Linked DNA regions of Nothobranchius furzeri. The protein of the gene in region 1 purifies or fractionates together with the protein of each later gene. This does not show direct contact. Links are inferred from orthologs where the notes say so. Each region holds a gene or a part of one and is shown on either strand. Other genes may lie near its edges. The genes, in order: rab27b and sytl4.

Region 1 (3,823 bases):
GATGAAGGTGAGACGCAGGTCCGGGCTTCATCTGCAGTGACGTCTTGATCAGAACCCACAGAACCAGATCCTGGATCCAAGCTGTTGAACGATCCTTCACCCTAGCAGCCTGCTCAGCCTCGGCCTCCCAAGGGCCACGTGACATCAGAGATGAGGGAACACCTTGGGATCCTCCACGACCTCCTAGACCCGTGGTTCTTAATCCTGGTCCTAGAGGGCCGGTGTCCAGCATGTTTTAGTTTTAACTCTGCTTCAACACACCTGATTTCAATCAGCAGGTGATTAACAAGCTTCTGCAGAGCCTGGTGAGCTTCTGCAGGTGATTCAACCACTGAATCTTGTGTGCTGGAGCAGAGAAACCACTAAAACGTGCTGGAGACCAGCCGTCCAGGATCAGGATTGAGAACCAATTACCTAGACCTAAAACTGTAGGCAGGTGGGTGGATGGGTGGGCTGATGGATGATGGATGGATGCACTGAGGAACCAAACCAGATGATGAAGTGTGATGAAGAGTCAGAGGTGTGAAAGCCGCCCGAAGCTTCTTCATAGACCTCAGACGGAGATCTACCTCCTGATTCCTTCTCCGGGTTAGATTCCAGGATCTGATCCCACCGTCTGACCGGAGGGTCGGTTTTATTAATGCAGCTAAACATCGAGCCTTTGACGGTTTCTGAGACGTCGTTAAGCCTAACTACATAAAATGTCTTTGCATCCAGGAAAAAGAGACAGAGCGCTAAAGTAAACAAAAGGATTTCCAACGTCACGGAATGAGAATGCCACATCTGACGTATTTGTGAAGGAAATAGGTTTAGCAGCGATCTGACCTTTCCTGTCTGAGCAGGAGACACAACCTTCTCTGACAGTAACGCGATCCAACGCAGAGAACTTCCATTTCTGTCTCGCATCAATCTTCGTCGAGTTTTCGGTTGTGCTGGCGGCTTTCTGAGGATTAAGAGACACTCTTTATGTTTTTTTCACCGCGGAGACGAACCAGAGATGGTGGAAGAGCTTCAGTTCACCGTCAATCTCGGGGATCGGCTCTAATATTTTTATTTGCTCCTCTTTAGGTTTACACGGCATCGAATCCAAACGGAACGGCAACAGGAAAAACCTTCAAGGTTCACCTCCAGCTCTGGGATACGGCTGGACAGGAACGGTGAGCCCTTCTCGGATAGCTTCCCGAACAGCCTCTGTTTGGAGAAGTAGGGTTTACAGGAATGACGTGCTAACAGCTAGTCATCTTAAATCAGCTTCAGTCTGCTTCTCAAGAGTTTAAATGACATTCTTTAAGAAACTTTTATTCTGCCATGTTTCATTCATTTGCTCGTAAACAGAGTTTCATGTAAATAACTGGTTTATCGTCACTCATCCACCAATTTTGCAGACTCCGGCAGGTTTATCGAATAATTAAAGAGCAAGTCACCCCCTACCTATCTTAGTTTTGATCAGAAACAACATTATTCACAATTGTTTTGTTTATTTGTCACATTTAAGTATCTTCCTGAGCAGCCTCTGTTTCCTCTTTATGTTCATCAGGAGTGATGAGCTAACGGCTAGTTTTGGTGAAGACCATTGGGTGTTTATGCCGTCCTGAATTAACTCCAATTTACTCAAGTTCCCAGAAGTTTTTGTGATGTTATTTTACACACAACTGTCAGTTTAATGCTACAGGTTATTCACTATGATGCATTTTTATTAATTTATATGGAATTCTTTGGTTATTTAAAGAGCAAGTCACCCCCTACCAGAATCTTTCTCCACTCCCACTTCCTGTTTGAAAAATGCAACAAATGCTGTTGCCTAGCAGACCGAGAGGGCGGAGCCGCTAACAAATACATACACACACAGTCTCACAACAACATTGTGACATCATATGGTACCAGCTAATGTTCTAGGGTACCTCTTAGCCAATAGCGATGGCAGATTTAAATTCAAATACAGTGCAAAGTTTTTACCTGACAACGGCACAACACTGGCAGTTTTAGGCAGAATATTTAAATTTTAACTACGATGCATCGAAGTGCCAAACTATTGACTTCACGTGTCTGCAGCACAATTAGACACACATTTATATAGTTTATCAGCAAAAAAGTTGGTTTGGGGGTGACTTGCTCTTTAAGAGGAATTATTTAGTTATTTAATAACAGAAATTTGATGAGCACCAATCCTCTTTTTGAAGATTGACACCAGTTTTGGACGAGAGGCACATGAGTAAGATGGACATGTTTTAAAGTGTTTTCTAGGGTTAGGGTTAGGGTTATAATTATAGAGGAATGAATTCTATAGAATTATGTTTATGTATTTAGCAGATGCGTTTGTCCAAAGCAACTTACAGGTGATAATGAAGCCAGCAGGTTGTCCTTGAGGCTAACAACAAACACTAGTCAGTCCTAGGTGAGGCAGCATAATCCATCCTAAAGGGAGGGGAACAAGGAGTGGACAGTAGAGAGGGGGGACGGGTGCAGGGAGGGTCCTGGTTTAGAAGATGCTCTCCGAAGAGCAGGTCTTCAGGAGTTTCTTAAAAAATACAGAAGAATCTTAAGTTTCATTTTTCTACGGGAAGTAACATCTAGCAGCAGCTGTTTACGTCCTCAGATCTGACTTGCTGTCAAAATGGTGCCTTTTATGGTTTATAAGAAAGGATTTAAATGAACCCTCACATGTTCTTAAATTGTTTTTTTCTGTCAGGTTTCGCAGCCTGACTACGGCGTTCTTCAGGGATGCCATGGGTTTCCTCCTGATGTTCGATCTCACCAGCCAGCAGAGTTTTCTAAATGTCAGAAACTGGATGAGTATGTCCTCCTGCTCTGTTTCCATCAGAAAAGTTGTTTCATTTCTCAAAGTCTTTCAGTATTTATCATCAATTTACATAAAAACAAAACTACGATTGTTTAAAGGATCATTTACATGAAGCGTGGTGGGTTTTAATCCTATGCATATTTAAGTGTTTCATTATATCTCTGTTTTGTTTATTTACGAACCATTTCTTAATGTTCAGGTCAGCTTCAGGCCAACGCCTACTGTGAGAACCCGGATATTGTTCTGGTGGGGAACAAGGCGGACCTGGCTGATCAGCGGGAGGTTCAGGAGAAACAGGCCAAGGAGCTGGCTGATAAATATGGGTGACTTTAAAATCCTTTTGTTTTATTTCCAGCTTAAAGATGTGGAACAGTCATTTAATTCATGGGTGAGTCCATGAATGTTGGTGACAGTGTGATCCGCTCATCTAATCCTGTCTGTTTTCTATCAGGAGCTAATGCAGCAGATAGGTGTAGGAGACTATTTTCATGTTCAGCCTGCATGAAACAACCCAGAGTGACCCGTTAGAATCAGAAATAATCAATAAAAAATTGATTTCCACTGTTCCACCCCTTTATAAATTCCTCCATCTCCAGCTGAGTTGTTGTTGTTATGCTGACAAATGTGATTATAATCCTGATGATGTCATGAGTTGACAGTCTCTCATTCCATCACACAAATCTACTCGTCCCAGTTAGATCCTCAAACTGGTTTTATAACTTTATTCTAACGCGGGTTCACTGGTTGAACGTTTAGACACCAAAAACTTTTGATTAAATATTAAACCTTTACCACTGATAGCTGTTAGAAAAAGATAGCTGCTAAAGATGGCTCTTTCTAGATAAAAATCAAAATCCAAAATAGACATAAAAACGATAGAAAAACAGTATGAATAGATGTTTTTGAGCTAATAGCTGTTGGCAGTTAGCGATGATCTAATAGTCAATAGGGGTTAGCTGATTAAAGAGCAAGTCAGCCCTTAGAACTTATCTAATAAGTAATTGGTAGCTGTTAGCACTTATC
Region 2 (3,823 bases), on another chromosome or scaffold:
GCTGGCAGAGTCCCAGGAGATATCAGCGGCAAGCCCACAGGCCCGCCCGCAGCCTCCCACCCCCTAGCCGGCCGAGCCCGGGACCCAACAACCCGGGACCCAGGGGTGACCACCCCCGCCTGGGACCCAGCAGAGCCCAGGGGCCCAGACCCCACCAGACAGCCACCGGGATTGATCAGGCAGATGCCAAAATCTTAAACCCCCTGACCCGGTTGCCACAAACACTCAGGCAGACCAAGGCACAGCCCCTCACACCAGGTGTGGCAGGGGGAGGGGAGACGAAGATCTATATCATCAAAAGAAGTCCCAGGAGAAGGGAGGAGTCAAAGGCCCCACCTGACATATACAGTCATACACAAACACAGTCACACACTCCCTCCCTCATGCTCACACATGCACATACAACCAAAGACTTACAAAAATGCACGCCGGACACCCACTCATGCTCCCCATACACACCCTATTCACTCTGGTCCCGGTACTGCTGCACATGGGGTACAACCATTACCGGTTCCCTGAGTTCGACCCTTTCTGCTGGGGTGCTGATGAGCAGGCTCCCCCGCCCAACGCTGAGCACAGCAACCCACCACCCCAGACCCCAACCAGACGGCCAGATCTCCCTCCTAGCCTCCAGCCCCAGAAAGCCAAGCAACAAGAGGTGTGCTAAGACCCCTAGTCTCCCTCCGCCTGCTCCAATATAGTGTTGTGTGTTAATGAGGTGTATTCCATGGCTGTGGTGAGCGGGCAGTGCGGGCGTTGTCTGGCCTATGCCAGCTGATGCCACCACACCATCCCACTTGCACCCACAGCCCTCAGTGTCTAAGTGCAGTTTAAAATTGGAAGTGGGCACCGGCCCTCTGGATGAGGCTGAAAAATCCCCCTGCCAAATGCCGTTGAATGTGCTCACTCCCATGGCCTTAAAGCCTGATTTATGCTTCTCCGTTTGCATCAGTGCGGAGACACGTAACGCCATTATCCGTCCTTGCGTAGGGCTCCGGCAGGCATGCAAGTACGTACGGAGTCGAGCCCACTTTTTTAAACATCTGTCGAACGAGACGGATTACGCAAGCTTGTGATTGGTCAGGACGCCGCTGTTGTTTACAGCGCCGCCATTGCAAAGAGAGCCGAGGATAACTAGCGGCAGACACGGAGAAGCTTGAAGAAGACCTCGCGAAAAAACTCTAAAAATATGAACGTTTCATTCTCCCGTGACTGGAGACTGGAAAGGATGCGCAGCAAGCGTTTTATTTGTGGACGGAAATGACAGGAAACGTGGGTTTAGAGGTGGGGAGCGCATGAAGAGGTGGGAGAATGAGAGACAAATATGTCTGTGTTAAAAGTCTCTTATATACACAAAAAACACAATATAAACACACGATCATAGACCAATACATGGCAGGATACCACAGAACAGCGCTATGCCCTCTGTTGTCCTGCCGGGCAATTGCTTTGCAACACTCTCCAGGAGACTGAGAAGTAAAAGAGCAAAACGCTTCAGTCAATCCATGCGTGTCTGTCCCTTGCGCAGCTGACGGAGAAGCATAAACCAGGCTTTAGTGTGTGTTTGCGTGGAATGTCGTTGGTGGAAGTGTTTAAGGTGCAAATAAAATTGGGGGGCAGGTTGCCACAGGAATGCAGAAATGGGGTCCATACCTGCACTCCCTGACTTGTCCACCCCCAAAGGTCCTGTGTGCATGTTTGTGTGATGATGTGAGGGAGCAGGAGGAGAAAAATATGCGGGGATGGGGAGGAATGGCTGGTTGCGCTTAGCCCTCCAGGGAGCCATGTCGTGCATGTCTCACTGAAAATGAATGGAGAGGCAATGTCGCCTCCTGTGTGTCGAGCCCATAATACTTCCACCCCAGTTTCTGCATTAGCTACCAAAATAAAAATTGAGTGCGAAATTGTCAGGTCAGAAAAAGCTGCATAGATCTACGTCACACTCAAATTAGTGTTCATGGACTTGCTCACCTTGGCTTGCGGCTGTGGAAGGCTGTCAAGTTTTGCAGCTAGGAGAGAGCAGAACAAGTATCGACTAGTAGAAGCTAACCATTAGCATTAGCAACTCCACAACACAGCAGATCTCATTCAGACTTGTGTTGTGCTGACACTTCCTGTTGTCAGCCAGCTGGGTGAGGGCGGAGGCGGCTTCTGACGCGCTTCTATTCATAAATCAAACCTCTTTTTGTCTGTGCGTTAGTCTTGGTTATTTTCTTTTACAAGCATTAGCTGGCGTTTTACATGATGCTGTTCCAAGGATAGTAGTGCTCCCAGTTGATCGTCACAAAAAAGAAATGTATTGTGCCATGGATCCCACCACCCATGCGTAATCGGCTCATCCGAAACACCTGAGGACCCACTTAAATCACATGTGACGCACCCGACACCACCACCACCACAGACGAAAGCCCAACCCACAAAATAAATGGCTCTACATGTGTTGTTAATGGGGAAAAACATCAACTTTTTTAATCCAAAAAGAGTGAGCGGAGGCAGCAGAAGAGTTGCTTCACTATTAGCCAATCAGAGGAGAGATTTTCTACATGAATATTAATGAGTAACACTCCAAATCTGTCGTTTTCTGCCCCCCACACCTCCGGTTAGTTTCTACTTTCTGAAACAGAAGTGCCAGAGCTTTTATCCACTGAGTGACTCATGAGGTTTTTATTCATACTAGAGAAAGTAGATTTATTGAAGGTGGTATAAACTGCTGCCACCCAGAGGTCAGACTTTGAACTGCAAAATAAATAAAATAAATGTTTGTATGCAAATCCTCAATAAAAAAAATCCATTCACTGCTTTTATATATCGATTCAGTAGCTGAACACAAAATATTGCAGTATTTCAATGTATCGTTTTTTTTCTTAAATGCTTTCTTGTAATGTAATGTAAAATCAGTAAATATTGGTTATCTAATATAACAGTGATTTTGATATCGGATATCTGTCTACGTTTTTACATCAGTGCATCCCTGGTAAAAAGACATAAATGTTATGACAATTAGGTTTCATTGCTGTTTATTCTAATAAAGTAAATGAGACTTGTATAAACAATCCTTTGACCTTTAGTGACACAGCTTTGTACTTTTCTTTAGTAATAATAATTCTATTGTAAGCAATATTATAATCTACTGCATCAGTGATGTAATGATTATGTGGAGTATCAATTTATCACACTCCTTAACTGATCTGTGTACATTCCAGGGATATAAAGAAAAGGACAGGCGATTGGTTCTATGATCAACGAATCAACCGTTTCTCTGGAGCTCCTGGGCACAACCTAGTGAGGGCCTCCCTGAAAAAGCGGCCTCCAGGTAAGTTCAGGAACAGGAAGTTAATATCAGCTGTTGGATTGTAAACAATGCTTTCCCCACCCATAGCTACAGCAGCAGTGTTTTAGTTTAACATTATTGATTGTGTCTTTTACTTAATCTTTTGGTTTTTTTTTCTTTATGTACAATATTATAGCAAAAAAGCGCGAGACAATTGGAGAAACACTCCTGAGGAGTGTTGAAAATAACACAAATCCTTTTAAACCAGTGCCCCTGCCCAGGCAGAAAGTTCAGACGGCTACCATAAGGTACTGGTCTTTTCAGTCTTTGGAACACAAATGTTCTTTGAAATGATATTTGAATGAGCTTGACCTTTTGGCTCATGTTTTATTATTTTTTTGACAGTCAGTCAAAAGAGAATTTGGGATCCATTGCTTCAAGAGAGTCATTTGAGTCAAAGACCAACGTGTCTTCAAAGCCAACGCACAGTGACACGGAATCGGCTGAAAACACGAGTATCGTCAGTGGCAAAACGGAGACCGAATCTGGTCG

What was found.
Region 2: the proteins of rab27b (region 1) and sytl4 purify together in Homo sapiens (co-immunoprecipitation; 3 studies listed by BioGRID and IntAct, counting the BioPlex papers as one, with this or other methods). This does not show direct contact. The link is inferred for Nothobranchius furzeri from reciprocal best matches to the Homo sapiens genes RAB27B and SYTL4.

What each region holds. Positions count from the first base shown.
Region 1 is NC_091746.1:72,347,936-72,351,758, forward strand, and holds part of rab27b (ras-related protein Rab-27B), read left to right. Parts: intron 1-1,068; coding exon 1,069-1,157; intron 1,158-2,689; coding exon 2,690-2,793; intron 2,794-2,999; coding exon 3,000-3,123; intron 3,124-3,823. UniProt on the Homo sapiens protein: Small GTPase which cycles between active GTP-bound and inactive GDP-bound states. In its active state, binds to a variety of effector proteins to regulate homeostasis of late endocytic pathway, including endosomal positioning, maturation and secretion.
Region 2 is NC_091741.1:84,928,905-84,932,727, forward strand, and holds part of sytl4 (synaptotagmin-like protein 4), read left to right. Parts: intron 1-3,203; coding exon 3,204-3,313; intron 3,314-3,467; coding exon 3,468-3,579; intron 3,580-3,676; coding exon 3,677-3,823. UniProt on the Homo sapiens protein: Modulates exocytosis of dense-core granules and secretion of hormones in the pancreas and the pituitary. Interacts with vesicles containing negatively charged phospholipids in a Ca(2+)-independent manner.